Linked DNA regions of Rattus norvegicus. Each later gene encodes a partner of the first gene's protein in a complex. Links are inferred from orthologs where the notes say so. Each region holds a gene or a part of one and is shown in the gene's direction. Other genes may lie near its edges. The genes, in order: Fbxl17, Bach1, Keap1 and Skp1.

Region 1 (6,601 bases):
CCACAGCTTGTTCACTCGACTTCCACTGTGTGAGCATTCAGGCTTTTTTCTGATTTTCACTTATAATCGGTGCTCCAATAAATAAACTCACACATACTTTTATATCATTCAGCCTATTATGTATTTTATATGGGAGTATGTTCAAAGTAGAACCCTAGAAGCGGAATTTCTTGGTCAAAATTAAGTGCCTATATACTTGAGTCTGGCAGTCATTCTGGCTCCTGTCTGTATGTCTCTGGAAAGGGCTGGCAGTAGGTTCATGTTTAGTCTTGATCAGCATAAAATTACTGAGCAACTCTTATTAATTTGTGTGGGTTTTTTTTTTTTGAACATTTAGTTGCATTTAGCACATGAACAAGTGTGTTGAAATTGCCTTGGAATTAGGAGTTAGCGTCCATGCAACTACTGGAGCAGTGTGTCACCAGCCTCTGATGTACCTGTGTACATACATGTGTACACGCCTACAAGCACAGGTGCACTTTACAAATCGTGATCTCCAGTAGAGTGGGCAGTTCAAGGGCTTCAGCAGCGACAGGCTCCAGAGCACTTACACAACACTCTCAGGCCCCCAGAGCCTTTCCTCCTCTGGCACTGTGAAGCTTTTTCATTTTGTGGCACTGGGTACGGAGCCCAGAGTCCGCACCAGGCAGGTCCGTCACCACTGAGCTCTAGCCGTAACCTTTTCACTTGTCAGATGGACTCTCCCAAAGCTGTCCAGGCCAGCCTTGAGCCAGCCCTGTGGCCAGGCTAATGTGAGCGTATGCTGCCCCTGTTGCAGCCTCTCAAGAAGCTTGTATTGCAGACAATGCACCAGGCTCCAGCCAGGCCTTTTCATTTTGTACCAACCGCTCACTAGCGTGGTTTGCAGAAACGGCAAACCAACTATGACATTTATGTAACAAAATGTCCCTTACATGCATTATCTCATTTGAACCTGTGAAGTGGGTGAGACATCCAGTCAATATCCCTATTATCTGGATGAAGAAGTGGTGTCTCACACAAGTTAAATATCACCCTGAGGTCAGGCATCTACTAAATGGAGTGGCTAGAGCTGAACCCGAAGTTCTATTGTATTACAGTGTCACAGCTAGCTCATGAACCACAAATGAAGAAGTTGCCAGAGGCACCATATATTTCAAGAGAGAGAGATTATTTTATATATATTTTGTAATCAAAAATTCCCATTAAGTCAATGCTATCAGCACAGACTAAATACTTGGCCATCCATAAGCTGTAATATTAGGTCTTGAGAGAGCAGTGAAGAGAGCAGACGCATTCCTTCCCTAGGTTGCACCCCTTTGTTAGAGCCAGCCTCTGTGAGCTACTTAGCCTGAGTTCTCTTTCCCTGCAGTGGATTAAGGAGAATTTGACCAAGAATATCCTAAGGCCAGCCCGTACCCCAGGCACACACAGACCTAGACCCATTATTTCCCATAGCTGTCAGTCTGCCTTTTGAGAATACCCATGACAGTTCAGAATTGGATTTACTCCGTGTCCTGTAACTGTGTCTTCTAGACTGTAGCATGATGGTGCTGAGGACTCTGCTCTGCATGCTGCATCTGCCCCAGCATCGCTCGCCAATCCTGGGATGTTTCCACAGTGACTCTTGACTCATTTATACTTGAGCCTCATAGAATGACCTGCACGCCCTGACCCTTCTCATCCCCACCTTTCGATAGGCTGTTTCCCTCCAGCCAGCCAAGTTGCCAATGAGCCTTTGTTTCTTCAGAGAACTCTAGGTTAGTTCTTCGGTGAAGGCTTCATCTTCCCACAGACTGGGCTAGGCGCAATGGTCCCTTGCATTTATAGCATGTCTGAGGGCCCACTGTCTACCAGGCATGGGCTGTGTACTAGGCTCACTGCAGTAAGGGCATCCTTACCTTAATGGGAGTGGTAGGCCATTAAGTAAGTAAATGCTATATCCCCAGGTGAGACTGGTGGCCCTGATGGTGATGAACTCTGAGCACGTGGCCTCTCACTGAAGTCTGGGCAGTGAGAAGGAGGTGGGAATAGAATGAGGTGGAGAAAGCATGGTCTTGTGACTGTTTACTGAGCTGTTCTCTCCCCCTCGCCTCACCCTCACCTCCAACCTGCCAGCCGTGAGCTCCAAGCATGTCACATCCCCACCCGTAGGCTCAGTTGTCTGACCACAGATCCACCTCTAGGATGCCACGCCCTGTGGTTCTCTGGTGTGCACATCTGATCAGTAGGCAGGACTGGGTACCCACTCCCGCCTTAAGATCCTGTTCCCATCTTTACTGTTTGGCGACCACGTGGAAGTCATTCAATCTCTCTGTGACTTGATTTCCCGATCTTTAAGGTACCTGTGAAGGCTAAATCAGATTCTTAACCAGAAAGCTTTGGTCCAGATCCTGACTTATGGAGGGCAGTCTTGGCTGTTCGTAGAGAATGCTTTAGCGCTCGTGGGGTTCACTGAAGGAAAGAGCTGTGTTGGGAATTGTGAAGCTGAGACAGAGGGAGGCCAGAACTAAACCACAAGCCCTGCTTACCTGCAGGCACCATCATCTACTATAATTTGGACAAGAGAGCAAAGGAAGACTCCAAACACAGGTCACTCCAGAACCAGGTCTGCAGTTCCTGTAGACTCCTTGTTTGCTCTAAAGTGGGCAGCCTGGGAAAGCATCTCATGTCATTTATTTACCTCTTCCTGAATAGTGCAGGACTTTTGTGTCAGTCTTAAATCTTGGTAACACAGCTGTTCACAATCTACTGACCTCGAGGCTCCCTGTAACTTGTGCATTTTCATCTAGTAAGCCCCACAGAACACTTCGGACTGGAAGGGAACTCTTCTATGCACCTCCTGCCTCCTTTATCATAGAAGGTCTTGAGGATATTGTTAACCCCTGAAAACAATGCCAATACCCCAGAGAGTAATAGTCTTCTCAAGTCAGAGACACAGTGGGATGAACCTGGGATAGTGTGTCTATCCTACTACTGGAACATGCTTTCAGTCCAATTCGAAGATGTTAAATGAACACTGGTGGAAAAAGGAACTTTAAACGATTCTCTGTGGCATATTTAATTGAAAACAGGGACAGTGATTGTTGATTTACAAACCATAAAAACCTGACTTTCTGGGATTGCTTTGCTATGGGAACCCGTGGACATGGGGATAATAGTTAAAATAAATTTCAGAGGTGGTTATCAGATTTTGCCCAGTGATGTTTCCTGAGTTGTATTTATATACATGAGAAAGACATTCTGCCTTTCTAAATGAAGCCAGCACAGTTTAAAACAATACCCGCTCCTCAACAGTCCCAGAAATGAAACCATGTCATGAGAGTAGGGGACCAGCACACACTTCCTCTCCTTTTTAATGTGTGTTAGCGCTGTTAGGGTTTCCGTCACAGGTTCATGCTTTGTAACATGTTCCGGGCAGGTATTAAAAGCCGCTTCTTACGTGTCGTACACGTTAGAGCCACACTCACCTATTAAACCACAGAAGTCCCCAAAGAACAGCCCTGTTTGCTGATTGGTGGCTCCTGCAGGGGTTTGGCACTTTGCAGGGATAACTAGAGTGCATCTGAGATTAGAGCCTAAGCATCTGCGATTCAGTATTGGCACAGTGATAAGGACTCAAGAACACCAGAGATAATGTTGTGGTTTTCAGATGGCAAACTCATTTTATATATTAATAGAAGGAAGATTTCTGATATGGCAAGGAAATTTACCATAACAAATACATTCCCATTACTGCTCTTTGGCCTGGCACCAATTTAGTTCAACTACATGTATAATGTACTCTTAATTCCCAACAGCCAAGAAGAACTAATAGGAAAAATATTATATGCTCCTACATTTTACAGGTCACACACAGATGGGAAAAATTATACTGATGCATAAAGAAATTTGCATGCATTATAACACACCTCAAAATGGTGTTTATGTGGCATTCTTTTTCTTTGAAGAATTATTAGAGTTACCTTGAACAAAATTTAGCTAGCACTTGGGCCTTTACAGTGCCCCATCTCGAACTCACTTGTATCGATTCCTCCTGCACATCTGGATGCTTGAAAGTATATGTGACCTTGACGTGAATAAACCTACGAGAGACTGAGTCCAGTGAGAGGGAAATTACGGAATGATTATTCACCACACACAAGGGTTTGTCATAGGGCAAGCCTTCTTAAAGCATTTCCAATTTAATTTAGTTTATGAAACATTCATTTGCACACAGCATTTCAGGAACCAGTTCTGTCAGGAAATGCGCTCCGTGATCAGCTAGAGGTCCCTTACCCTGCTAACGCCAATGTTTTTGTTTTGTTTTGTTTTGTTTTCTCTCTCTCTCTCTGTTCCTCCTGCAGCACTGATAGCCATTGGGCGATACAGCGTGACCATAGAGACTGTGGATGTTGGATGGTGTAAAGAAATCACAGATCAAGGAGCCACCCTGATTGCACAGAGCAGCAAGTCCCTGAGATACTTGGGCCTGATGAGATGTGATAAAGTAAGACGGACTCGTTTGGTTTCTGCTTCCAGTTACTGTAGCAAATAGCGCAACACCGCATTCTCTTCCTACACCCCATACACACTGTTAGCCATGCATGTTCTCCCTGGCTTCCTAAAGCAATCCAGAATTACTTTTGTATTTCTGGTTAATAATGGGTGTTCGTACTTAAGAGCAAAAGGATGATCGCATGGTGCCGTGGTGGGGCGGAGCTTCTCTTCCCTATGTCCACACAGCAGACTTAGAAAGGCTGCATACAAACTGCTATGTGTATGGTCTGACAAGAGAGTTCTAGATTTTAAACTTCCTGCAAGAGTAAAGGATCAGTTTGGCTTTTCATACGTGTTCATTTCATTTCTCCACCTCCATTTCTTCTGGCCATTGGAAGCAAGAGTATGTCTCCCTGCACATCACACTGTCTCTCCTGTCATGTGTAAAATGGCCCCAGAGGCCCAGCCACTGGTCCATGGGCAGCTGGCTGGGATTGAACGTGACTGTAGGATTGGGAGTGAAGGTTCAACATCTGAAGACTGAGGAGGGAAACGGAGACCATCTTTACAGACCCTAGGTAGATGGTTTCTCCTCCATGACTTCCGCAATTTCCCCATAACAAATCAAAGAATGAGTACTTTATTTGCATTGTAAAAGCAAGAAAATGGAGGTTGAGAACTCTCAGATACCTGCAGAAGGCTGCTCACACACAGCCTCTGGACTCTGATTCCGACCTTTCTTGCACAGTGCCAAGGCTGCCTTTAGCCATGGTGAACCTCGAGGTATGCACTAAAACAATGCTCTCCCCGTATTCCAGTTTACCTGTCTGTGCCACCTCTGCAGAGACAATAAGGAACAAATCTATCACAAGAATTGATACTAGAAAACCATGTTGCTCAAAGGGCAGGTGTTTTCTAAATGTAGACAAATATGGGGCAAAGTAACAGTGGCCCTAAACCCTCCCTGCTCCCTACTTTGTCTTTTTTGCCTATAGATCTAATTGTTGTTTCCAACTGTTCTAGACCTTTGCCAGTTACATTCTAGAAACTGTATCTTTTCAGCCGGGTGCAGAAAGCTGCTTGCTTTGTATCTTAGCAACAGCACTGAGACCCAGGGGAACAAGTCTCCCTCCACAGTCATCGCTGGCTAAGAGCATGCTGTTGCTAACCTTGTCAACTTTACAGTTAAAGGGCCTGCAGTAGGCAGAGTATTCTAGAAACACAAAACAGTAGTAGGCAAGCTCTGACAGCTACTAACCAGGTTCAGTCAGTTAGAGAGCCCACCCCGTCTGGAGCCAGCCCAGGACCAGGAGGCTTTATCATCTACAGTTAGCCACCTCCTCAGAATGTGGTCAGCAGGATCCCCAAGCTGGGGAGAGACCTGTGAGTGAGTTTGTATGCCTCTCCCGTCATGTACTGGGTTCTCTGGACCTTAGAATCTGTGAAGTCAACTGGGCATGGTAGTGATTTCCCAGAACTGGGGAGACAGAAGCAGAGACCGTGAGTTCCAGGTCATCCAGGGCTGAATCGTGAGACTGTTTCAAGGAAAGAAAGGAGTGGTAGAATCCAGTTGTGTTTCCTTTCACATTGAAGTTTCATTTGGGGCTGCTTATATTTAATTTGGAGGCTGTATTTTACCAAACTCGTAGGTTCTCCCTCACTTTAGCTTCTAAGAGGTTACAAGAATAACAACAGAATAGTGTTTACTTGTTGTAAAAAAGGCTCAGTATCTCTCTGTGTCTGTCCTCCCTGTACCTCCAGATGAGGAAAACTAAACTGTTCTCTGCAACTGAGAAAGCATATACTTGGATTATCAGTGTCTAAGTAAATTTGCAGTAAATGTGTTTGGCTGCCTCCTTGCTGAGTCCTGGGGAGGCCTCCTTCCGCCTTCCCCCACGAAGTTGTAAAGTTAGGAGGTGCATTAAGAAGTCTCTGTAAGAGCAGCTTTCTGATGGCTGGATGGATAAGCATGTTAAAAGGTTTTGAAGCTGACACCACATAATCTCCTAAACTTTAATGCATTGTAAAAACCAGGAGAGGAGAGCACTGTGTGAGACCGCTTTGATGAACTGGGGTGAGTTCATACTCTTAGAGACTGCTCAAAGGCCTGCCTGACCTTGGGAATTAGAGTTGACCTGAAATC
Region 2 (7,338 bases), on another chromosome or scaffold:
CCCTCCCCCTCCTCCCCCTCCCCCTCCTCCCCCTCCCCCCCCTCCCCCTCCTCCCCCTCCCCCTCCTCTCCCTCCTCCTCCTCCTCCTCCTTCTTCAAGTGGTTTTGATTCAAAGCAAGGAACACTGAAAATTATTGTCTTTTCCCTTCATCCAGCCTACACACATTCTCTTTCTACCCTCTCAACTTTAGAATAATTTAAACAACACACATCTGAAAGATCTCTCATCAGCCAAGGGAAGAAATCCAGCTCCAGGTATAGCGCATTATCCTTCCCATTGGCTTGGTTTTGTTTTATTATTAATCATGTTTTTTCCCCCCTGCTAGGTGGCAAACTTCAAGTTCGAACTTAAGAGTTTCTCAACCGTGACCCGAAGGCCACCCACATCAATGTTAAAAGTGCTGATCCCTGTGCCGCTCAGTCCTGTGGAATTAGAATCTCAGTCCAGAGTCTGCACTTTCAAGTCCTGTAGATCTCAGTCGCTGTCATTTGAGTTGCTCCTCACAGTCCTGGCAATCTCAAATCTCCGGATGCCTTGGTAGGAAAGTTCCGTCTGGCTGATCAGAATAGAGGCCATTGTGATCCTGTGAGAAAACGTTGAAATCTTGGTGTGGAGGGGAGAAGAATGCTCCAGAGAAAGACTGCATAGGTGTTGTTCTGTGTGAGTCGGAGAATCGTCTACGATAGCTGCCATTTTAGTTTTGAATGAGTGAATCTGATCAGCCTACAGAAACCAAAGTAAAATAATAAATAGAAAAGGGGTAGATCATAAAATTGACTACTTAGCACATCCAGTAGAAATAGGCTGGGAAGGATCTTCAAGACAGATCTCTGGAATTCCCCGTCAAGGGTCCCAGGCAGAGTGTACCCTCAAGTGAGGCTCCCAGGTAAAAGGACAAGCAACGTTTCAGATGTGGCATAATCAAATATGGCTCTGATCTCATCAAGTAGAACCTGACTAAGGAATTTGGAGCAGTGAGCAGGAGTTCCCAGTTGAGCCTTCTCCCTATGATTGTGACTCCCACGGCTGAACTCTTGACTTCTCTTTTCCCCTGTAGATCTTTGAATAGCATGGGATCTCTATTGGAAACAGCTCACTTTCTAGCTCCTCTCATGGATACAATGTTTGTACTCTTTGGTCTCTGTACTGGCTGGTTTCCTGTGTCAACTTGACACATGCTAGAGTTATCACAGAGAAAGGAGCCTCCCTTGAGGAAATGCCTCCATGAGATCCAGCTGTAAGGCACATTTTCTCAATTAGTGATCAAGTGGGGAGGGCCCAGCCTACTGTGTGCCCTGGGCGGGTAGTCCTGGGTTCTATAAGAAGGCAGGCTGAGCAAGCCAGGGGAAGCAATCCAGTAAGCAGCATCCCTCCATGGCTTCTGCATCAGTTCCTGCGTCCAAGTTCCTGCCCTGTGTGAGTTCCTGTCCTGACTTCCTTTGCTGATGAACAGCAAGGTGGAAGTGTGAGCTGAATAAACTCTTTCCTCCCCAACTTGCTTCTTATTCATGGTGTTTTATTGTGGCAATAGAAGCCCGGACTAAGACAGTCTGTTTTGCCGTTTTTCTTCCCATTTTGTCAAATAGTTGGGGTGGGCAGCCCATGCTAAAATACGTGTTCTTAGAGGACAAGTCAAGATAAACATGCTTAAGTAAAGTAATTATATAAAGTAATTTTTCCAAATAATGTACTGGAGAGGTGTGGAAAGCAGGCAGATTATACTTTGTCTCGGAACGGAAGTAGAGTGGATGATGCCTCAGAACTCTCGAATGTCTGTCAGAGCCCTCATCAACCCACACCCCTCATTTCTCGCTGATTACCTACATAATGATTTCAGGATCCGGAAGCCACCTGCCCCCATGTCTGGATCCCCTCACGGCCTGTTGGATCACACTCCTCTCAGCCAAGCCCTGGTTTTAGCTCTGCTTCCTCAGGAAGCCTTTGGGTTGTCACTCACACGGCCACCCACGACACTTAGGCCCGATTCTCACCTGTTTTGGAGGTAATTGAGTGTTCTTAAGTCACAACAGTTTATGCACTGAACAGATGTAGTCATGTCAATGATATTACTACTGGGTAGCAACCCCTTGCCTGGAGCCCCTGGCCTGTCATGTGTGTTTAAGGAGTACATTGCATTTTGGGGCTACCCATTTTTCTGCATCTTTCCACTAGAACTCAAAGCCAGCAACACGATTTCTTTCCAGAAATCCTACCAGGGCTACACGTCTCAGGGGCTACAGGCCTCTGGGGTGGTAATTCCTTCCTCATTTCTAATCAGGTCAGTCAGCCCAGCACACCCCTTCTCCAGACTGATAAGCCTTGTGGAGAGTGCATGCAGCCTTGCAGAAAGACACTGCCTTGAACCGTGAACATAATAAAAAAAATAAAAACGAACAATTGGACAAGCATTCAAATAAGTAGCTGAGGATAAAAGCAGGGGCAGGACTTGAGGAACGATGGCTGACATCAACAGGACATTGAACCGGCGTTCATGGTTCCTGGTGGTACAGCATAGAAGGACAGAAGTAGGCTACCAGATGCTTAGTACATTATTCCGGATGTAAAGGCCGGTACAATGTGTTTGCTTGTTGGTGAATACAGCTAGTAAATAAGAGTGCAGATTATTCAGGCAACTGTGAAGGGCACAGGAATTACTCTCAAAGCAGTGTCGGGCTGAGTACAAGCAGCGAAAGGATTTGATCAGGGAAGCATGCATATTAAAGGGTTATAATGAGCAAAGCACAGTCCAGGTTACATACATGCCTTGTGGTTTTCGAGGAAGGGCCTCATCGGACACAAACAACTTGAAGGGGAGTTAGTGATCATTTAGAAGGGCAACAGCCTTCTCCTCTCAGAATCTGCTCCTAAAAGTCCTGCCTAGCTTCAGACAGATGTTGACACACCCTTTTCGGCAAGTTCAAACACTTGGTTCTCACGCTCCTACAGGAAAGCAGCACAGGAGCTTAGCTGAACCGAACTTCCGAGGTTTCTGGAGGTTGTGGGGCAGAAGACCCTAACCTAATCTGTTGTGTGTGGGTGGCGAGAACAACAACTCAGGGGTCGTGGAGACGTCAGGTTTTTCTTTTTTTTTTTCTTTTTTTTACCTTCAGCAGGTTAGAGGAGGTGGTCTCCCGGGACGTGTAACCTTGCCACCAAAGGCAGAGGAGGTAGGGCACGCGGTTGGAGGCCTGGGCACACAGTACTTTGCTCCACAACGTTACACCGAGTTCGCCCAAGGCGAAATAGAGATCCTACCAGCGGAGGGCGTGGCCTGGAGCGGGGCGTGGCTCAGACACGGGCGTGGCCTGGAGCTCGGCGGGGCTTCAGCCAGGAGGCGGGGCCTGGGGCGGGGCGGGGCTTTAGCGCCGGGAGGCGCTGGCGGCGGTGGCGGAGTGGAGCGGAGCGCAGGGGAGGAGACGGGCGGCCGTCCGCGCGGAGGGAGTGAGTCACCTGACCGCCGCTTGCCGCCTGCAGTCGGGCCGTGCCGCGCCTCGGCTCCGGTGAGTGGCTCGGACGGTGCGGGCTGCCGTCCTTCCCGGGGGTCACCGGGGCTGGTGGCGGGCGGCCGCGCGGGCCTAGAAGGGGCGGCGGACTGCGTGCTGTTTACGCGGTGCGCGGACACTCCGGGTCGGCCGTGCCGGCGCCGCCCTGCACCGCGCTCCGCGGGCCGCGTCCCGCTCCGCCTGCTGCGGGGGCAAGGCCGAGCCGGCCGGGGTTCCGGGACCAGCCGGCGGTCCGCGCTCCCCTTTGTTGTAGCTCGCCGCACGTTTGTAATTTAGACTCGCACAGCATAGGCAGAGTGGGGTCTCGATGATAGACATCAGCTTTGTGTTCGTGTCTGGTAGCGCCAGGGCCAACGCGTTCTCGATCTTCTCCGGTACTTTGGTGTCATTTAGTGGAATTGCGCCGCTGGCTTTTATGTAGTGAGCTCTCTACGCTCAGCGTGCGCTGAGTCAAGGCAGACGTAGTAATTCTGAAAGAACGTGTGTGGGAAAATCCAGCTCCTGCGACAGGCTTGGAAGAACAAAGACTGTTTTTGCAGGATGCTGTTCTTTTTTGGAGAACTGTAGTGTTGTGACTGCTTGCCTCGGAGGATGCCCCTGCTGGGTCTTTGTTTAGGTATTCGAGCACTCCTTTCAGACTACTGTGTTTGCAGGGAAGGCAGTTCAGAAAGATTAAAGGATGAGCACCGTAGATTTGTTACTGGTCGAGCCTTTGAGCGCTACAGAGAAATGGGAAGAGGTATGGGTTGGCCTATTCTTCCTGCTCTTGTGGTAGTGGTGCAAGCTCTGGGCTGGGCTTGAAGGCGCTTGCCACTTCTGGCTTTGGACCTCATAAGGGAGTCTAGGGGAAAAAAGGCTCCTGGTGAGTCATCTTGGAGTTGAGTAGCTTTGGAGGAGTGATCGACTCTTGTTGTTTAACCGTCGTCGGATCTGTCAAGTGGCTTCCCTTTGTTCACTACGTTGGTTGGCTAACAAGGTAGGGTGACTCTTTAAAAGAGTTTGTGTTGCTGAGTCATTCACCCCAGTCTGAGAGGTAATTAGGAACAGCTGGTGCAGATACGCGCATCACATGCCTCCACTATAAAAGGGTGAGCTGCACACACGAGGGCTTGCTTCGGGAGGCCGGAGGGGGCCCAGCTGCGGGCTGTGTGTTTTGATACAGGTAATCAGTAGGTGACGTGGGAGAGCATGCTTAGGACGTGGCCAAGTAGCATCTAGGTGGTGTTTAAACAGCAGCCGCGTGGCCTACTGCGGGAGAATCAATTTGTGCTGGAGGAAGCGGTGTCTGAGGGATTTCAGGTAGAGGTAAGGCATTCAGCAGTATTGTAACAAAACAGTATTGTAACATTTCCTTCTCTTGCTGGCCTTGCTTTGCCGTTAGCATTGATGCGGAGTGGTGAATACATGCATAGTTATTCTTTATAAAAGTTATTTTTTTTTTATGAGGCCACAAAGGGGATTTCCTTTTAGGGCTTTTAGGTTTTCCCGCATAGCTAGTTTTTGGGGAGAAAGGTGGGAAAGGATAGAGTCAGCAGGTCTTCTTGGGTCAAGCCCAAGAAGAGGGGTCTATGTATGTCTCTTGACTTTATGGATCTTGTGGGATTTCTTTTTTGCCTGAAAAAAAAAATGAACACACACTCACACCAGTCCTCCGTGTAAAGTTTGAAAAGGAAACGTGTCTGAAGGGGAGGAGAGCTGGCTTCTTATGAAATTTTTTAACATTTATTTATTTATTATTTATTTGTTTGACACTTGCATTTGTGGGTCTTTCCATTTATCCTGTGGGTTCTGGGGCATGGACCTCAGGTCATCAAGCTTGGTGGTGAGTGCCTTTAACCACTCAACCTTTGCATGGTCCCCAAGGATGATACTGAATTTTTTATTATTGACGGTTTTCCTTTCAAACATCTGTAGCAGGGAAGCAGTTGGTGTGCTGCTTTAGATTTAGGGATTATCAACATGTCTTTTTAAGATGTTAGGAGATTTCAGGGAGTATACAGAGTGATTGATCTAACATGAAAATACCCACAGCAAGAAGTTAAAGAAGCAGAGTGACATCAATGTCTGCATATTAGATAATGTGGTTATACGCACATCATCCCTTTTGTCTGTTGAGGGATAAAGTTTGCTTTCCACTGCTATTACCGCTATTCCAAGTCTGCAACAGACACTGTGTGTGTGTGTGTGTGTGTGTGTGTGTGTGTCTGTATTTTCTGATCTCTTCCTGAGAGCTGTAGTTATTTCAAAATATTCTTAGTACTTACTTTTCACTTCATGTATAGTTTTTGTATCGTAAAGACCGGAAGATGTAAATTTCTTACTACATTCTTAAAGTTAGTGATAGAGATTAAAAAAAGTTACATTTTGATAACATTTTTTGGATTTGTAGGCAACCCCCTAGGGCGGTTGGTGAATGTGTGTGATCTGAACAGTAGTGGTTAGAATTTGGGATGTGATATTTATAACAAAAACTTTAAATTTTAAGGTAAAAATTCTCTTACGCTTTGGAGGCCTGTGGATTCCCCCTCTTTTTATATTCTTTTGATTATTCTTAAAACTGTGCATTTAGGTAATCCTTAGGAAGTGGAGTTTCTTAGACTGCCAACCTCTTGGGGTAGTCACTAATTTTTTATTTACATATTTGTCTTAATTCTCTGTCTCTGTCTCTCTGTCTCTCTGTCTGTCTGTCTCTCTCTCTCTGTGTGTGTGTGTGTGTGTGTGTGTGTGTGTGTGTGTGTGTAGGTTTGAGGACATCCTGTGGGAATAGGTTCTCTTTCTCTACCACACGTGGGTCTGGGCACTGAACTGCGGCCTGAGGCCTGGCAGCTGACACCCTCACCCACTGACCTGTCTCACTGGCCCAGGAGGCATGGCTACTATTTACCATTGGGTTCCACCTCAGGGCCTATGGAAGTGACTCTCACCAGAGCAGCCACAAAGCTTGTTGAAATGACCAAGTGTCAGAAGACTCTTCACAGCGCAGCAGCTTGCTCTGTCCCTGGCTGACGGTTTTAACAGTCACCTCCCTTCACGGTTTCTACCTTTCTTTTGGTGGGGCGATTGTTCGAACCCTCAACCCTGAGTCTCTCAAGCCTGCAAAATGAAGGGATTATCTCAGGGGGTGGGATGGACGGTTTATGAGATTCTTTTGAGTTAAAAAAAAAATAAAAATGCCAAGTACCGGACTCAAGTGATGCCCGACACATTGGGAATGTGAGCTCTGTTTGCTAAGGCCTGACCTTTTGCCGAGAGAAGCATTTCAGAACTGCAGGTAAAATACCAGTTTACATCTCTGTCAATCCCTGGCTCCTGGCTTAGCAGTGCATGGCATTGACATCTAAAGTTGGGGTCCCTGTACAGTCTCTAGAGAAGCCATATGTTCTGGATGGGAAATACAGAACTAAATTGCTAAAGATCCGTCAGTGTCAGCATCGTCGTCTTACTTGGGGTCAGCTGTCCTGTGCCTTTCTGTTTCTGAAAAATGGGAATGATGGTGGTGGTGGTGGTGATAATGATGATTGATGGTGATCATGGTCTCTATCATAGATTGCTGTGAGGATGAAGTGTGATACCATGAATCAAGTGGTCAGGACATAATTTGTTAGGTGCTATTTTCTGGTGTCCAGAGAGAGGCAGGTTGAATGCTTTCTTACTTGGTTTCGTTAGGTCCTTCTGGGAGCTGAGCTAGCGGCCACCATCGCTGAACACTTGCCGTAGGGCAGGTGTTGGGACTAGAAAGTTTCAGGTTGGTGCTCATGGGTTCTCAGGCTTGGCAACACTGTGGAGCACCCCATTCTGCCCTGCTAGTAAAATGTAATTGCTTTTTGAAGAAGT
Region 3 (7,170 bases), on another chromosome or scaffold:
TTTTTTTTCCTTTCTCAACTTGCTCCTTTTCATTAAAATGCTCTTCATAAGAATGAACTTTAGCGGGGTTGGGGATTTAGCTCAGTGGTAGAGTGCTTGTCTAGCAAGCTCCGGTCCTCAGCTCCGAAAAAAAAAAAAAAAGGCAAAATAAATGTAAAGAATGAACTTTAGGGGCTGAAGAGGTAGCTCCGTGGTTAAGAACACTGACTGCTGGGGTTGGGGATTTAGCTCAGTGGTAGAGCGCTTGTCTAGCAAACGCAAGACCCTGGGTTCGATCCCCAGCTCCGAAAAAAAGAACATTGACTGCTCTTCCAGAGGACCTGAGTTCAAATCCCAGCACCCACATGGTGGCTCACAACCATCTGTAATGGGATCTGGTGCCCTCTTCTGATGTGTCTGAAGACAGCTACAGTGTACTCATAAATAATAAGTAAATAAATCTTTAAAAAAAAAGAGTAAACTTTAGTAACTGCACAGCAGAATCTACACCAGGGTTTTTGAGACTTCCTTTTTCAAAACAATTAATAAAAATCTCTTTTCCTTAGCCTCAGGTAGACTCTTCAGACAAGAGCAAAAAAGCAACCACATTTTTCATCAAAATACCACATTCTGAAATTCTTCTTCTCTGAAACCTCTTGGGCCAGGTCAGCACAGTTCAAATCACTCCCAGCAACACAGTCTTCCATATTCATAGTATGATAGCCCATTAAACCCCATTTAAATCATTCCACTGCTATCCAAATCCAAAGTCCCAAAATCCACATTCTTCCAAACAAAAGCATGGTCAGGCCTATCACAGTAATACCCCAGTCCCTGGTATCACATTCTTTCTGTCTTAGGGTTTTATTGCTGTGAACAGACACCATGACCAAGGCAAGTCTTATAAGGACAACATTTAACTGGGGCTAGCATACATTCTGAGGTCAGTTCAGTGTCATCAAGGCGGGAGCATGGCAGCATCCAGACAGGCATGGTGCAGGAGGAGCTGAGAGTTCTACATCTTTCTCTGAAGGCTGCTAGTGGAAGACTGACTTCCAGGCAGTTGGGTGAGGGTCTTAAGCCCACACCCAGAGAGACATACATACTCCAACATGGCCACACCTCCTGATAGTGCCACTCCTTGGGCACCACACACACCACACACACAAACCATCACACACAAGGTCTCATTGTTATCCAACCAGTCATTCTTCTGCTTCAGCTACTTCCAGAGTAGCTAAATTTTCATGCCTTCATCTCCAGGTCCAGCTCCATCTTGCTTCTTTTAACTGGCTGGATAGTATTTCACACTACAGCAATACCACCAGCTATTGAGTCAGAAGCCTACAAAAAAAATGTAGGAGTTGGGCGAGTCCTTTGACAGTTAAACTGTTATATAATCATGGCTGTACCTGTGTGAATGAGCCTTGATAAATCTCCACAGCCAGCTCATGGGGCCTGGAGGCTTGACTTTGAGAGACAGAAATTGTGGTCTTAGGCACCAGGGCAGGAATCCCAACACCTACATCATAGCTGAGTGTGGTGAGACGCCACCTTTGGAGAAGGCTGGAATTGCAGTTTTATTGAACATAGGAAAGGTCGAGTTCATGTGGTGTCTCCAGGAACTTCCCACACGGATCAACATCATTTCCACCGGACATTCCTTTATTCAGATGATAAATATATAAAATAATTACTTAAAATTATATAGCAAAGTGTGGCGTCTATATTAAAAATGCCAGCACTTGGGAGACTGAGGCAAGAGAATTACTGTGTGCTCAAGGCCAGTCTGGGCTACAAAGTGAAATCCAGCCTCAAACATATATGAGTAAAACTGGGGCTGGAGAGATAGCCCAGCAGTTAAGAGCACTGGCTGCTCTCCCAGAGGACCTGGGTTCAATTCCCAGAACCCACATGGCAGTTCACAACCATCTGTAACTCCCGTTCCAAGGGATCCAGTATGCACCTTATACAGACATACATGCAGGCAAAACAGCAATGAACATGAAATTAAAAATAAATTGAAAGAAAAAACCCAGAATACACATTTGTAATCCCATTGGAGAGATGGAGACAGGAGACAGAGTTCAAAGCTAGCCTGGGCTAAAAATGACATCTTGTCTGCACCAGTCAGTCAAATAATATTAAATTTTTTTATTTATCTTTATTTTATGTGTATGGGTGTTTTGTCTTCATGGTTGTGGTGCTTGTGGAAGCCAGAAAAGGGTATGGGATCCCCTGTAACTGGAGTTATAGGCGTTCATTTTGACCCTAATACCAGTTCCGGGAATTGAACCTGGGTCCTCTGAAAGAGCTGTCAGTGCTGTAATCACTGAGCCATCTCTCCAGCACCAATAATAACTTTATTTTCCAAAATTAATTTATGTGTGCATGTGGAGGTTGGAGGACAACTTGGAGGAGTAAGTTTTTTACTACCACGTGAGAAACAGGGATGGAACTTAGTTGCCAGAATTGGCCAAATCTTATAGGTCAAGAAAATAATTTTCTCTCATAAATGCCTTTGTAGCAAATAAGAATCTCTTATCATATATATATATATATATATATATATATATAATGAGAAATGCAAAGAAAGGCAATTCTGGGCATTCCAACTCTCCAACACCCTCAGATGAATGCCACACCTCTCCTCATGAAAAAATGACTACAGAGAGAGGAGAGAGGAAAGTGGGCTGCTGTTGCACCTTGCAGGCTCCACATAGGGGAAGAGAATCAGTTTCTGCCAGTCATCCCCCGACCTCTACACACAAGCATACACACAAATAAATTAATGTACACAAAGCCCTGCGTGGTGTCACAGCCTTTAAACCCCCACCCCCCCACTCCCCCTCACCCCGGCACGCAGGAGGCAGAGCGAGAGGCAGAGGCCAGCCAGGGCTATGTAATGAGGCCATTCTCAAAAAAGAAGTTATAAGGCTGGGGTGCTGGCTCAGCAGTTAAGAGTACCTGTTGCTCTTGCAGAAGACCAGAGTTCAATTCCCCCTCTCCACAGGGTGGATAACCTGTAACTTTAGGGGGCACTGCACGCCCACGGGGCACAGACATACACGCAGGCAAAACACCCACACACATAAAGTAAAATGCGAATTGAAATAGAAACCATTAAAAAGTTATTTTAAAGGAAGATCTGTATCTCAACCAGGTACATAGGTCTGGCTGGGCCGGGTAGGGTGTGGGAGGGTCCGCTGGGGCAGGTTCAGCTAGAGGCGTACTGGACAGCCTAACCCGGAGGCAGGCTCCTAGGGCCGCCCTGACCCACGCCCTGCTCCCTCCGCCCGGCACCTGCAGGAAGGGCTGGAACCGCCTCTGCGTGCCCGCCGCCTGTTTCCGCCCTCCCGCTCCTCCCACGCGTGCCGCCCGGGACCCCGCAGCACCGCTGCCCCGATCCGAGGCCCCCTGGCTGCCCTCGGCTCCTCCCGGAAGCGCGGCGCGTGGCGGCCCGGCGGTGCGGATTGGACGCGTGGCACCAACAGAGACACCCGGGGGGGTGGGACGGAGGTGAGCGAGCGCCCGCGGAGGATGCGGTGGGGAGCCAGCTCCGGGCGCCGCCCGCGGTCGCGCGTGGGGACGTGCACGCGGTGGGGGGAAGCGCGTGACCCCTCCAAGTGCGCACCCGCGCCCAGCCCGTGCACCCGCGTAGGGTGGTGGCCGAGGCGAGTCGAGGGTAGGGGTCGCCCGCGGCCGGCGCCCCGGGACTCTTATTGTGACAGGGTGGTGCGCTGTGCTTAGTCACCGTGACCCGCGCGGCGGAGGCGGAGGCAGAGCGCGGCCATGGCGGGGTGAGTGCGCCGCTCCGGGCCGCGGCCCGGGACCAGGCCCTGCGGGCTCTCCAGGCGTCAGGGCTGCGCCTCCGAGCGTTAGGGAGGCCGCTGGAGCAGGCACCGGGTACCGGGTGGCTGCTGCTCAGCCCTCTGCGCAATGCCAGGCCCGAGCTCCGGCAGTGTGGTCACGCGTGACAGTCGCTCACTTACTGGGGCCCCTGGAGCATTTCATCGTCGTCCCCCCCATGGTGACCTAGTAGACATAACACTGGGGGACGCGACTCCAGGCTGAGCCCCAGAACCTGGGGAGCCAGCTGCAGGCCCTCTCTGTGTCCCCACATCTCCTTTGAAAGCATAACTCCTGTCCTGGCCCCAGGTCTCCAAGGGTCTCCTGAATCCCTCACCGTGGGTGTTCCAGAGGCTGCACACTCTGCCCAGGGCCTTGGTGCTCGCCTAGTGTTTTCTATACAGACCTTGCTTTATTTTCAGGCCTTTTCTGTCTTCCTGCTGTGTCCCTGGAGCTCAGAACAGTTGCAAGTATAAATGGCAGGCTCTGTAAATTTTGGTGAGGTGTTGAAGAAAGGGATTTGACATGTCGGATGAAGGGAAGGGAAGCATGGCTGGAACTGAGTGAAGAGGTCTAGAAGGGGGTGTGGAGTTTTACAGGCCATTGAGGAGCTGGGTTTCCACTCTTGGGCTCTGGGATAGGTATTGGGTGATTCTGAGCAGGAAAAGGAACGGCCGGTGATTTGAGAAGAAGTCAGTTTGAATGGAGCCGGGTGTGTCCAGTTCACTTGGCTTGACAAAAACTGCTCTAGAAATCATTGCTTAGTCTAAAAAAAAAAAAAAAAATTAAAGCTTGGCTAGATATGGTGACACAAACTGTAGTCCCAGTACACGGGAGGAAACAGCAAACAGCCTTGTTTACATAGTGAGTTTGAAGCCAGCCTAGGCTAAGACCCTGTCTCAAAAGAAAACAAGAAACAAACAAACAAACAAAAAAAAAATGTGGCAGGGTCTGGCCTAATCCAGCCCTGTACTCTTCCCTCCTTCCAGGCCCCTAATCGCTAGTGGTGGAACTGTATCTTGTCATCAGGAACCCCATGCAGCCCGAACCCAAGCCTAGCGGGGCTCCCCGCAGCAGCCAGTTCCTGCCCCTGTGGTCAAAGTGCCCGGAGGGGGCAGGGGACGCGGTGATGTATGCATCCACGGAGTGCAAGGCGGAGGTGACGCCCTCGCAGGATGGTAACCGAACCTTCAGTTACACACTAGAGGATCACACCAAGCAGGCTTTTGGCATCATGAACGAGCTTCGGCTGAGCCAGCAGCTCTGTGACGTGACCCTGCAGGTCAAATATGAGGACATCCCAGCTGCCCAATTCATGGCCCACAAAGTGGTGCTGGCCTCCTCCAGCCCAGTCTTTAAAGCTATGTTCACCAACGGGCTTCGGGAGCAGGGCATGGAGGTGGTGTCCATTGAAGGCATCCACCCCAAGGTCATGGAGAGGCTAATTGAGTTCGCCTACACGGCCTCCATCTCCGTGGGCGAGAAGTGTGTGCTGCATGTGATGAACGGGGCAGTCATGTACCAGATTGACAGCGTGGTCCGAGCCTGCAGCGACTTCCTCGTGCAGCAGCTGGACCCCAGCAACGCCATCGGCATCGCCAACTTCGCCGAGCAGATCGGCTGCACGGAACTGCACCAGCGTGCTCGGGAGTATATCTACATGCACTTCGGGGAGGTGAGTAAGACCTGGGGTTTGGGCTCAGTTGTCACAAGAAGTGGGATGGGCCAGCATAGTGCTCTCCGAGACTGGAGCGGCCATTCAAGGCTGGAGGAAGATTTCTTTTTTTCTTCCTCCTTTTCTCCATAGGGCCTCATGTAGCTCAGGCTGGCCCTAATCTGGTTGTGTATCTGAGGATGGTTTTAAGTTCCTGATTCCTGTGTCAGTCTCCCAAGTACTGTAGTCACAGACTCCCAGTATACTTAAGAGATACTGGAATGGAACGCAGAGCCCCAGGACTTGGTTTTACTTTTGTTTTTAAATCTTTTTTTAAAAATTCATTTACCTTTATTTTGTGTGCATTATTGTTTTGCCTGAATGTTTTTCTATGTGAAAGGGTCAGGTCTTGGAGTTACAGACAGTTGTGAGCTGCCACGTGGGTGCTGGGATTTGAACTCTGGTCCTCAGGAAGAGCAGTCAGTAGTGCGCTCAACTGCTGAGTCATCTCTCCAGCACCTTAGATTTTATTTTTTTTGGCAGACTTCTCTAGCTGAGGCTTTTTTTGTTTTTCTTTTACTTTTGTTTTTTGAGACAGAGTTTCTCTGTGTAACAGTCCTGTCTGTTCTGGACCTCAATTTGTAGACTGGCCTGGCCTTGAACTAAGAGAGATCCACCTGCCTTAGTAATTAAAGGTGTGTACCACCACACCTGGCTATTGAAGCTATTGTTTTGTTTTGTTTTTGTTTTTTAAGTCCTAAAAAAAATACATATATATATATATATATATATATATATATATATATTTGTGTGTATATGCATGCACTGATCTTGTGTGGAAATCAGAGAACAAATAGCAGGAACTGGCTCTCTCTTGCTACCTTATGTATGTTTCTAGGTTAAACTCAGATCATAGGGCCTGGCAGAAAATGCCTTTACCCTCAAAGCCACATTGCTGGACTGAAAACTCAGCTTCTGAGCCCCTAATCCAAATGCAGAGAGCATCAGGTGAGGACATGCCCTCCTAGTGCCTCAGCAGCCTGGTCTCTTTGGTGTTAAAAATAGTGATGGCCAGCCTGGGCTATACAGTGAGACCCTGTCTAAAAAAAGTGGGGTGTGTGGGTGTATATGTGCAAACATATTGGTGTACACCTTTAATCCCAGCACTCAGAAGGCAGAGGCAGGTAGATCTCTGAGTTCAAGAGTTCAAGGATAGCCTGATCTACAGAGGGAGTCCCAAGACAGCCAGGGCTACACAGAGAAACCCTCGGAGTGCGATTGAACAGGCAGTCAATGGTACCCACCAACCTCACACATGCAGTCTCCAGCTTTGCTTGGCTTTTCCTGGGTTCACATGGTATTGCTTTCATTTTCGTTTCTGAATACAGGAAGTCCTCAAGGGAAAGTAATAGGGCAGTTCTTAGGGAAAGCCAGTCAACAGCAGCCTTGGCTCTGGGTGGCAGTGACTAGAAAGGTCCCCTGGACATGACTGCATTCTGAATATCACCAACCCAAACCCCAAGTCTGAAATGCTTCAAAAGCTTTTGAACACCATCTGTCGTTCTCAAGTGGACAGTTCCACACCTGACCTCACAAGATGGGTGGCGGGCACATCAAGCCTAGTGCATAAATCTTTGGAGGGCCGATGTGCTCCTGGACTGGTAGAACCCTTCCCCAGCCTGTGCGAA
Region 4 (7,401 bases), on another chromosome or scaffold:
ACTTACCCTAAGCTTAAGAATCACCTTGGATGGGGGTTGGGGATTTAGCTCAGTGGTAGAGCCCTTGCCTAGGAAGCGCAAGGCCCTGGGTTCAGTCCCCAGCTCCGGGGAAAAAAAAAGAACAACAACAAGAAAAAAATCACCTTGGATGGTTTAAAAGGCAGAAAACCCTGGGTTCGGTTCCCAGCTCCGAAAAAAAAGAACAAAAAAAAAAAATCACCTTGGATGGTTTAAAGGGCAGAGAACCCTGGGTTTGGTCCCCAGCTCCAAAAAAAAAGAAAAAAAAGGCAGAAAAGCCTGCCCCACGTTAGATTCATTACACTGGAAACTGACCCAGCTGCCTTTCCTTGAGTGGGGCCAATTATAAGTGCATTATTCACTTAAACATTCTTTTTTGATTTAGGTTCTTACTCTATAGCCTCAGCTGATCCAAAATTATGTAGACCAGACTATTCTTGAACTCACTAAGTGCAGAGGATGGTCATGAACTTCTGAGTCTCCCGTTTTTGTCTCCTGAGGTTACAGACTTGTACAGTTTATGGGGGTGTTGGGAACCAAACCCATGGCCTCACACATGCAAGGCAGGCACACCACCAATTGAACCACATCCCCAGAACCAGAAAACAGACTTGCAAAAAAAAGTTGTAGTGCTGTGCCTAACTCACTTCAGGGAAAAAAATTACTATGTAAAACATGCCTATGAACCCATAGGCAAATGGCAGGAAAATATACAAATCACCCAACATTTGCCCCACCTGCTAGCTCCATTTCTTTGAGGCAAACAATTTCTTGTGCATCTTTTGTGAACTAATTTGTACCTTAAATAGTCTGGGCACCGCAAGGATTGAACCCAGGGTCCTGGGCATGCTAAGCTTTGTCCCAGCACTAAAACCTCCATTTTCTCCTCCAAGCATTGGTTAATTCCTGTACCGAGGCTTTCATCCCTCTGGAGAAACATACACCTATCTTGTGACAGGCAGTGTACTGGCTTCTTAGACTAGCTGTATGACCCAGGACTGTTTAAGGAGCCCACCAAGTTTATGCCATGTGAGAGGAAAAGGCTCTCCAAGTGGGCCTTTCCTGGCAGGCCCTAAGTAGGAGCTGCGAAGGGCAGGCAGTGCTGCAGATAAAGAGCCTGAGAACTGTGGGCCTTTCATCTTCTGTCATCAGCTGTGGCACCTGGCAGACATTGGATACCACAGCCATCAGACAAAGACCTGGTCATTCAAGCCATTGCTTGGCCTCTCTGCCCAGACTTGTCCTGGAGAAACTGTAGGCTCTGGTTTCTTTAGGAGGCCCTGTGTGGAAACGTCTTTTGTCTTTGTGGTGCCAGGAATACCATCATGTGCTCATTGGCTAGGTGAGCCTGGCGCCTTGGTGGGGATAGTGATGCTCCCTAGACACAGCGGGGCAGGGCAGGCAAGTGCCCAGTTCCTGGCTGGGCTGAGGCCAGATGGGTCCTTTCAGACCTCTCCCTTTACTTCAAAGTTGTTTCATTCTAGCGACCTTATCACAGCCTTCTGTGAGCTGCCCATACAGCATAGTCTGTTCAGGTTGGGCTGACTGTCCTGGTTCACTACTGGATGGATTCCCAGCGCGGGCCTCACAGGCCTCACACACAGGCAGAGAGCATGATTACCCGAAGAATATACCCTCCATTCCACATCCCTGTTTTCTCTCTCCAGGCTTGGCGCTTCACTCCAACAATGGCTATTTGGGGTGTGAAAGCCTCTTCAAAGTTCAAAGGTAGGAAATAAAGGTTAAGATTATCCAACAAGGTGGTGCCTGCCTCCCAGCGCTGAGCTATTGGAAACACAGATCTGAATTTAAAGCCAGCCTGGTCTAAATAGCGAGTTCCAAACCTGGTTTATCTAGTAAGACCCTGTTTCAAAACAAAACAAAACAAAACAAAAAGAGTATAAGGCGAGTATATGTGGTGAAAAAAAAAAGCCGGTAATCTCACGAGTTTTAGACCAACCTGGTCTACGCAATGAATTTGCAGTCACTCTGTGCCAAACGAGACCCCGTCTTAAAATGCAAAGAAAATAAAAACTAAGCAGGTGCACCAAGTCAGGAGTATTTAGAGACACCTTGACTCAACATCCGTAATTTTTTAAAGCTCAGTTATCAGTGGAGTAAGGTTCAAGTCCTTAATTCCAGGTCGGAAAAAAAAAAAAAAAACCAAACAAACCAAAAACCCTTATTTCCTTGGGTTATTAGGAGAGTAACAGTGGTCAGGCTGAGGTGACTCCTTTAAAGCACACCCACCCACAACCGGTTTTGCGGTTTGTTCTTTCCAGGCTTTTCAGGACTGGGGTCTTTCAAGCAGTTTAAGACAGCCTCTGCCTGAAAGACCCTTCGGGTCGCGATGGTTCCCCAGCCGGTGCCGGCGTCCGCACGGAAGGAGAGCACGGCGTTGTTCAGGACGGCGGAGTAAAGTGGAAGTCCCCCTCCTGCTCAGCCACCCTTCCACCCATCGCCGCTCAGCACCTCTCCAGGAGACCTCTGCGGCGCCCAGAACCTGCCACCCGCCTTCCGCATGCCGTCAGGCACTCTCAACGGCCAGCCCGGCCGGCTGTGTGACGTCACGAACTCGGGGTCCTCGGTGCCCTCTTCCCGCTCCTATAAAAGCTGACGCCGCGCGGCGCTGCTGTAGTGGCCTTGTTCTCGAGACTTCTATTCGGTTGTGAACTCTGTTCGGCAGCCTCAGGCCTGCGGTCTTGAGACCGAGCACGGTGAGTAGCAGCCCGCGAGCCGGACCAGGTCCTGGAGGGAGGGGCTGGGTGGGAGCCCCGGGTTGGCTGTGGCGTGCACGAGGCGGCGAGTCGGCCTGGCGTGTCCTGAGGCGCTGTGCGGCCCGTTGCCGACCCCGGACCGCGGGAGGCGCGAGGCGGCCGAGTCAGGCCTTCTAGGGCCGCCCATCCTTTCGGCGCTCGCTCGCTGCTGTATCCAGCTCTGTGGCAGGCCTGCTCTTTTGCGGGCGACGTCAGTCGGCCCCGAACGCGGCTGCAAGGCCTAGGCTTCGTCCCGGGCCTGCCTTAGCGACAGGCTTGTTGCTCCGCGCTCCAGGGCGGGTTGGCCGCAAGGCTTTGAGTAGGGGTCCCGGGCCTTCCGGGTGGTGGCGGTCGTTGCCACTCGATACTTAGCTCTCTCCCTTCCTCCTGTATCTGGCGACATTTGCTCCTTACTGGTCTTACCTATTTAACCACCGAATATGCAGGTAACAGGTTCCCGATATTTCTTCGCTTTTTTTTTTTTTTTTGTCACGTCCTGCAGTCTCTGAACTTATTGTAATAGACCTTGTCGTCTGAGGTGTGTGACTTTTAGGAGCCCTTGACGCTAAAACCCAAGGTGTTGGGTTTTTAAGGGATAGTGTTAAAACATGCCTCTTGGCTCACTTTTTCATGGAGTCCTCAGGTTTGGAGACTCAGTTTTTCATCAGAATGTTACAGTAGACTGTGTTGTGGCAAAGAACAATGCACTCCCTTCTGCCCTGCAGTCCAGTAACAAGTGGCAGAATTTCGAGTCACTTAAAACAGGTTTGTTTTTAAAGTCTGTTTTAAGTGTACTAGAATTCTCATGCTAGACTTGGATGGTGGTTTAGTTTCCAAGTCCAGGAGCTTAGAGAACTAAAGAAGGGTTTTTTGAAAGCATATCAAATCGAAATCTCATACATTATTACTTAAAAATTTTGCACTTAATTCCACCACAACAAAAGTGAAGTCTAGGATTACAGAGTGCATTGAATTACAGATTAACTGATTGCCTCCCTGGCTCTCTTGCAAGTAACCTGATACCTAAATTTGACTATGACTAAGCATGTCTTTATTGTGAATTATTTCAAGGAAATATGGAATTGTCTTTTAAAATAACTTTATTAGCCACATAGACTTGTTCCTGAGTGATCATTACAGTGCTGGGGACCATAAAGAGAACATAGTGTTTTGCTATTAAAAGCTGGTCTCTTTAACTTTTATTGTTGCCTTATAAGGAGGGTCTGCTGCTCTGGGCTTCTCTGTTCTGCAGCATATTTGTGAGTTGAAAAGTGAACTCTTGAGTCTTTTCAACCATGGATGATTGTGAAACAAGCTTTATCCCCCCCCCCCCCCCAATTATTGTTTACTTGAGGAATGGGGACAAGTGTCTCAGAAAGCTGAATGAATATTTTAGGAGATACGCCGAGTCTTAAGTGTTTGACCCTTAAATAGGTACAATAGTTATTTTAAGTGCTAACCCTATAACACCCAGGTATTCCTCAGAAGCATAAGACCTGCAGAGTTACATGTGAGTTGGGGATTTTGGTGCCCACCTTTTTTTTTTCTTTTTTCTTTTTTCTTTTTTTCGGAGCTGGGGACCGAACCCAGGGCCTTGCACTCGATAGGCAAGCGCTCTACCGCTGAGCTAAATCCCCAACCCCAGGTGCCCACCTTTAATCCCAGCACTGGAGGCAGAGGCAGGTTGATGGCTGAGTTCAAAACCAGTCCTTGCTACAGAGCAAGTTGCAGGACAGCTAGGGCAACACAGAGGAACCCTGTCTCAAAAACAAACTACTAAAAAAAGTTGCTTATGAAATTTTTTTTTTCTTTTTTTTTTTTGGAGCTGGGGACCGAACCCAGGGCCTTGCGGTTGCTAGGCAAGCGCTCTACCACTGAGCTAAATCCCCAACCCCATGAAATTTTAAAGAGGTCTTGAATTACTCTTTTGGAGTAATGAGGGGGAAATCTGAAGATGATAAATTGCTGGTTTAGAGCTTTTAGTATTAATACTGGTTTGCTTTTGTTTGGTTTTGGTTTTTCCTAAAACTCAAGTCATGTTAGGAGCTAGTTGCTTAATTTTTTTAATATATGAAATTATATTTTTCCTAATGACTTATATTTTATCTCAGTTGATGCATTTTTGGATGGGGGGGTTGTTGAGATCAGTTTTTGAGACAGGGGCAAGAAAACTAGGCTAGCCTTAAATTTATTTTGTATGTATCAAGAAGATGGCCATGAACTCCTAATGCTTCTGTTTGCCAAAATGCTGGGATTGTGGAAATACTTATACTCTGTCTCACCTTTTGGGCAGAGGGAGAGGGCAATATTGCAGATTGAACTAGAGCTTTATACATGTTAGGCATTACACTCAGGAGCTGTATCCCCAGCCTCTTTTATATTTCATTTTAAGCAGGCTCTTAATGAGTTCCACCAAGGCTGGCTTGACCTCATTATGTAACCTAGTCAGTCCTTGAAATTATGATCCTCATCTTTCCAAAAACTGGACTTCACAGGACTGGTTCCTCTGTATATCCCTGACAGTTCTGGAACTCACTGTGTACACTGGCCTTGAACTCACAAAGATGCACCTGTACCTTGACTCCCACGTGCTGGAATTAAAGGCATACAGTATTACCATGCTATTTTAAATTTATATTTGTTTGAGACAGATTCTTATGTAACCCAGACTGGACTTGAACTTGGCTGTGTGCCCAATGTCTGAATTCCTGCATCTCAAGTACTGGGTTTATAGTACCTGCCACTATGACTTAAATGTATTTTGTTGTTTTGTTTGCTTTTTTGAGACAAGGTCTTTAGGTGTAGTCCTGGCTGCCCTATTTATTACATGTAAGTACATTGTAGCTGTCTTCAGACACACCAGAAAGAGAGCATCAGATCTCATTACAGATGGTTGTGAGCCACCGTGTGGTGGCTGGGATTTGAACTCAGGACCTCTGGAAGAGCAGTCAGTGCTCTTTTAACCACTCAGCCATCTCTCCAGCTTTGTTTGTTTGTTTTGAGTTTCTCTGTGCAGCTTTTGGCTCCCCTGGGACTTTCTCTGTAGACCAGGCTGGTCTTGAACTCTAGATCCGCCTCTGTCTCCCAAGTGCCCAGATTAAAAGGCATGCTTCGCCACTGCCTGGCTGAAGCAGGTCTTTTTTTTTAATTTGGTAGGTACTTAGCCAGACGATTTCAAACTTGGACATCTGAACAATAGGTAATAAAAAAATTTAAAAGGAGCTGGGTTCACACCTTTACCCTAACCCCAGCACTGGGAGGCAGAGGCAGGCAGATCTCTCTGTGAGTTGAGGCCAGCCTGGTCTACAGAGTGAATTCTAGGACAGTCAGAGATACACAAGGAAACCTTGAAAAACCAAAACAGAAAAAAAAAAAAGACTCTAAATTTAAGCTCCTTACGGGTTTTAGGGATCTTACTGACAGCTGCCTGTATGACCTTTATTTTCTTGTATGTGGTCTTGCACTTGTTTAGAAGTGAGCATATCCTAGTCTACTCTTTGGAGTAGTTTACTTGCTTTTTACTGATAGATTTCATTGTAGGATATTTACTTTTATTTGATAGCTTTATTTATTTTAGACTGACTTTGCTCGGTTTGTTAATAATTAATTGTGGCAATTAATTTTTCAGATTGAGTAGTTATTACTCCATGAGAGCATAAAGGAATATGGAAAGCATGTATAATATCTGGATTTCTTGGACCTGCCAGCAGATGAACAGTGACACAGAGACTTAATAATTTTATTATAGCTTAGGCTACCTCCTCGCTTGCTCATCCAACTTAAATAACCCCCATTAACCCCTCTCTCACTCCAACTGCCTCCCTGTCCCCATGGATTTCTTCTCCTAGAGACCCTCTCTGAGCCCAGAAGTCCCGCCCTCTCTTTTCTGCCTAGCTATTGGTGGATCAGCTCTTAACATCCAGCAAGAAAGGTGAGGAACCATAAGATTAACAATACCCAAATCCCAGCCTTTTTCGGCTCTCAGTCAGTACAGAATTAACATCTGAATAGTATAAAAGACAACCTTCAAACGTACAAAAGTCACCCCAACAATGTATCTTAACATTTTTAAAGGACTAGCAAATGGTTGGCTATCAAACCTGATGACCTAAGCTTGATCCCTAGAACCCACACAGGGGAAAGAGAGATCCATCCTCCTGCAGCTCGTTCTCTGACCTCCACATGTGTGCTGAGGTATATGCACACCCACACATTCTAAAAGTAAATGTCAAAAACACAGCTCTTAAAACCAGTTGTAAATTCAGTACTGCCTTTAAGTAGACCTTAAAGGCTGGGAAATAATCCTCCCTCCCTCTCTCCCTCTCACTCTTCTCTTTTCCTCGACCCTCTCTCCCTTTCCCTTGAATTTCTCCCTCTCCCCCCTTTCTTTCTCTCTCTTTAAATAAAAGCAGAGCCAGTAGTTGGTGGTGCACACCTCTAATCCTAGCACTTGTGAGGCAGATGCAGACAAATCTCTGAGTTTGAGGCCAGCCTGGTCTACAGAGTTCCAGGACAGCCGACTGTTAACACAAAGAAACCCTGTCTCAAAAAACCATATATAGGGGGCTGGAGAGATGGCTCAGCAGTTAAGAGCACCGACTGCTCTTCCAGAGGTCCTGAGTTCAAT

What was found.
Region 2: the proteins of Fbxl17 (region 1) and Bach1 are in contact, whole or in part, in a cryo-EM structure (PDB 8UAH), measured with the Homo sapiens proteins. The link is inferred for Rattus norvegicus from reciprocal best matches to the Homo sapiens genes FBXL17 and BACH1. Residues at the interface, in NP_001156787.2 of Homo sapiens: Asp395, Arg421, Asn447, Gln473, Gln498, Glu499, Met524, Arg548, Cys574, Leu575, Tyr598, Val600, Ser601, Asp623, Trp626, Met651, Arg652, Val676, Gln678, Asp679, Cys680, Arg682, Thr683, Glu685, Gln689, Trp692; in NP_001177.1 of Homo sapiens: Val20, Leu21, Ser23, Leu24, Gln27, Val32, Leu33, Asp35, Phe39, His48, Arg49, Ser50, Val51, Ala53, Ala54, Cys55, Ser56, Ser57, His60, Ser61, Arg62, Val64, Asn72, Thr74, Pro76, His116, Asn117.
Region 3: the proteins of Fbxl17 (region 1) and Keap1 are in contact, whole or in part, in a crystal structure (PDB 6W66), measured with the Homo sapiens proteins. The link is inferred for Rattus norvegicus from reciprocal best matches to the Homo sapiens genes FBXL17 and KEAP1. Residues at the interface, in NP_001156787.2 of Homo sapiens: Asp395, Arg397, Arg421, Lys423, Asn447, Gln473, Tyr475, Met524, Arg548, Asn572, Cys574, Leu575, Trp577, Glu596, Tyr598, Val600, Ser601, Asp623, Trp626, Lys628, Tyr647, Met651, Arg652, Val676, Leu677, Asp679, Cys680, Thr683, Leu684, Arg686; in NP_036421.2 of Homo sapiens: His59, Thr60, Ala63, Ile66, Met67, Glu69, Leu70, Gln75, Leu76, Gln82, Lys84, Ala90, His96, Val98, Ala101, Ser102, Ser103, Ser104, Pro105, Val106, Lys108, Ala109, Met110, Thr112, Asn113, Gly114, Val122, Ser124, Glu126, Gln163.
Region 4: the proteins of Fbxl17 (region 1) and Skp1 are in contact, whole or in part, in a crystal structure (PDB 6W66), measured with the Homo sapiens proteins. The link is inferred for Rattus norvegicus from reciprocal best matches to the Homo sapiens genes FBXL17 and SKP1. Residues at the interface, in NP_001156787.2 of Homo sapiens: Pro319, Asp320, Ile321, Asn322, Leu324, Pro325, Ile328, Lys331, Ile332, Phe333, Ser334, Asn335, Leu336, Leu338, Asp339, Glu340, Cys342, Leu343, Ser344, Ser346, Leu347, Val348, Cys349, Lys350, Trp352, Arg353, Gln364, Arg370, Gln371, Val373; in NP_733779.1 of Homo sapiens: Lys78, Glu79, Lys80, Arg81, Gln97, Gly98, Phe101, Ile104, Leu105, Asn108, Leu116, Asp117, Cys120, Lys121, Val123, Ala124, Ile127, Lys128, Gly129, Lys130, Thr131, Pro132, Ile135, Arg136, Phe139, Asn140, Ile141, Lys142, Asn143, Asp144.

The regions. Positions count from the first base shown.
Region 1 is NC_086027.1:110,243,604-110,250,204, reverse strand, and holds part of Fbxl17 (F-box/LRR-repeat protein 17), read left to right. Parts: intron 1-4,325; coding exon 4,326-4,468; intron 4,469-6,601. UniProt on the Homo sapiens protein: Substrate-recognition component of the SCF(FBXL17) E3 ubiquitin ligase complex, a key component of a quality control pathway required to ensure functional dimerization of BTB domain-containing proteins (dimerization quality control, DQC).
Region 2 is NC_086029.1:40,422,307-40,429,644, forward strand, and holds the start of Bach1 (transcription regulator protein BACH1), read left to right. Parts: upstream 1-3,414; 5' UTR 3,415-3,501; intron 3,502-4,513; exon of another isoform or gene 4,514-4,809; intron 4,810-7,338. UniProt on the Homo sapiens protein: Transcriptional regulator that acts as a repressor or activator, depending on the context. Binds to NF-E2 DNA binding sites. Plays important roles in coordinating transcription activation and repression by MAFK.
Region 3 is NC_086026.1:28,050,095-28,057,264, reverse strand, and holds the start of Keap1 (kelch-like ECH-associated protein 1), read left to right. Parts: upstream 1-3,222; 5' UTR 3,223-3,498; intron 3,499-3,639; exon of another isoform or gene 3,640-3,779; intron 3,780-4,817; 5' UTR 4,818-4,864; coding exon 4,865-5,503; intron 5,504-7,170. UniProt on the Homo sapiens protein: Substrate-specific adapter of a BCR (BTB-CUL3-RBX1) E3 ubiquitin ligase complex that regulates the response to oxidative stress by targeting NFE2L2/NRF2 for ubiquitination.
Region 4 is NC_086028.1:36,900,256-36,907,656, forward strand, and holds the start of Skp1 (S-phase kinase-associated protein 1), read left to right. Parts: upstream 1-2,652; 5' UTR 2,653-2,735; intron 2,736-2,773; exon of another isoform or gene 2,774-3,214; coding exon of another isoform or gene 3,215-3,220; intron 3,221-7,401. UniProt on the Homo sapiens protein: Essential component of the SCF (SKP1-CUL1-F-box protein) ubiquitin ligase complex, which mediates the ubiquitination of proteins involved in cell cycle progression, signal transduction and transcription.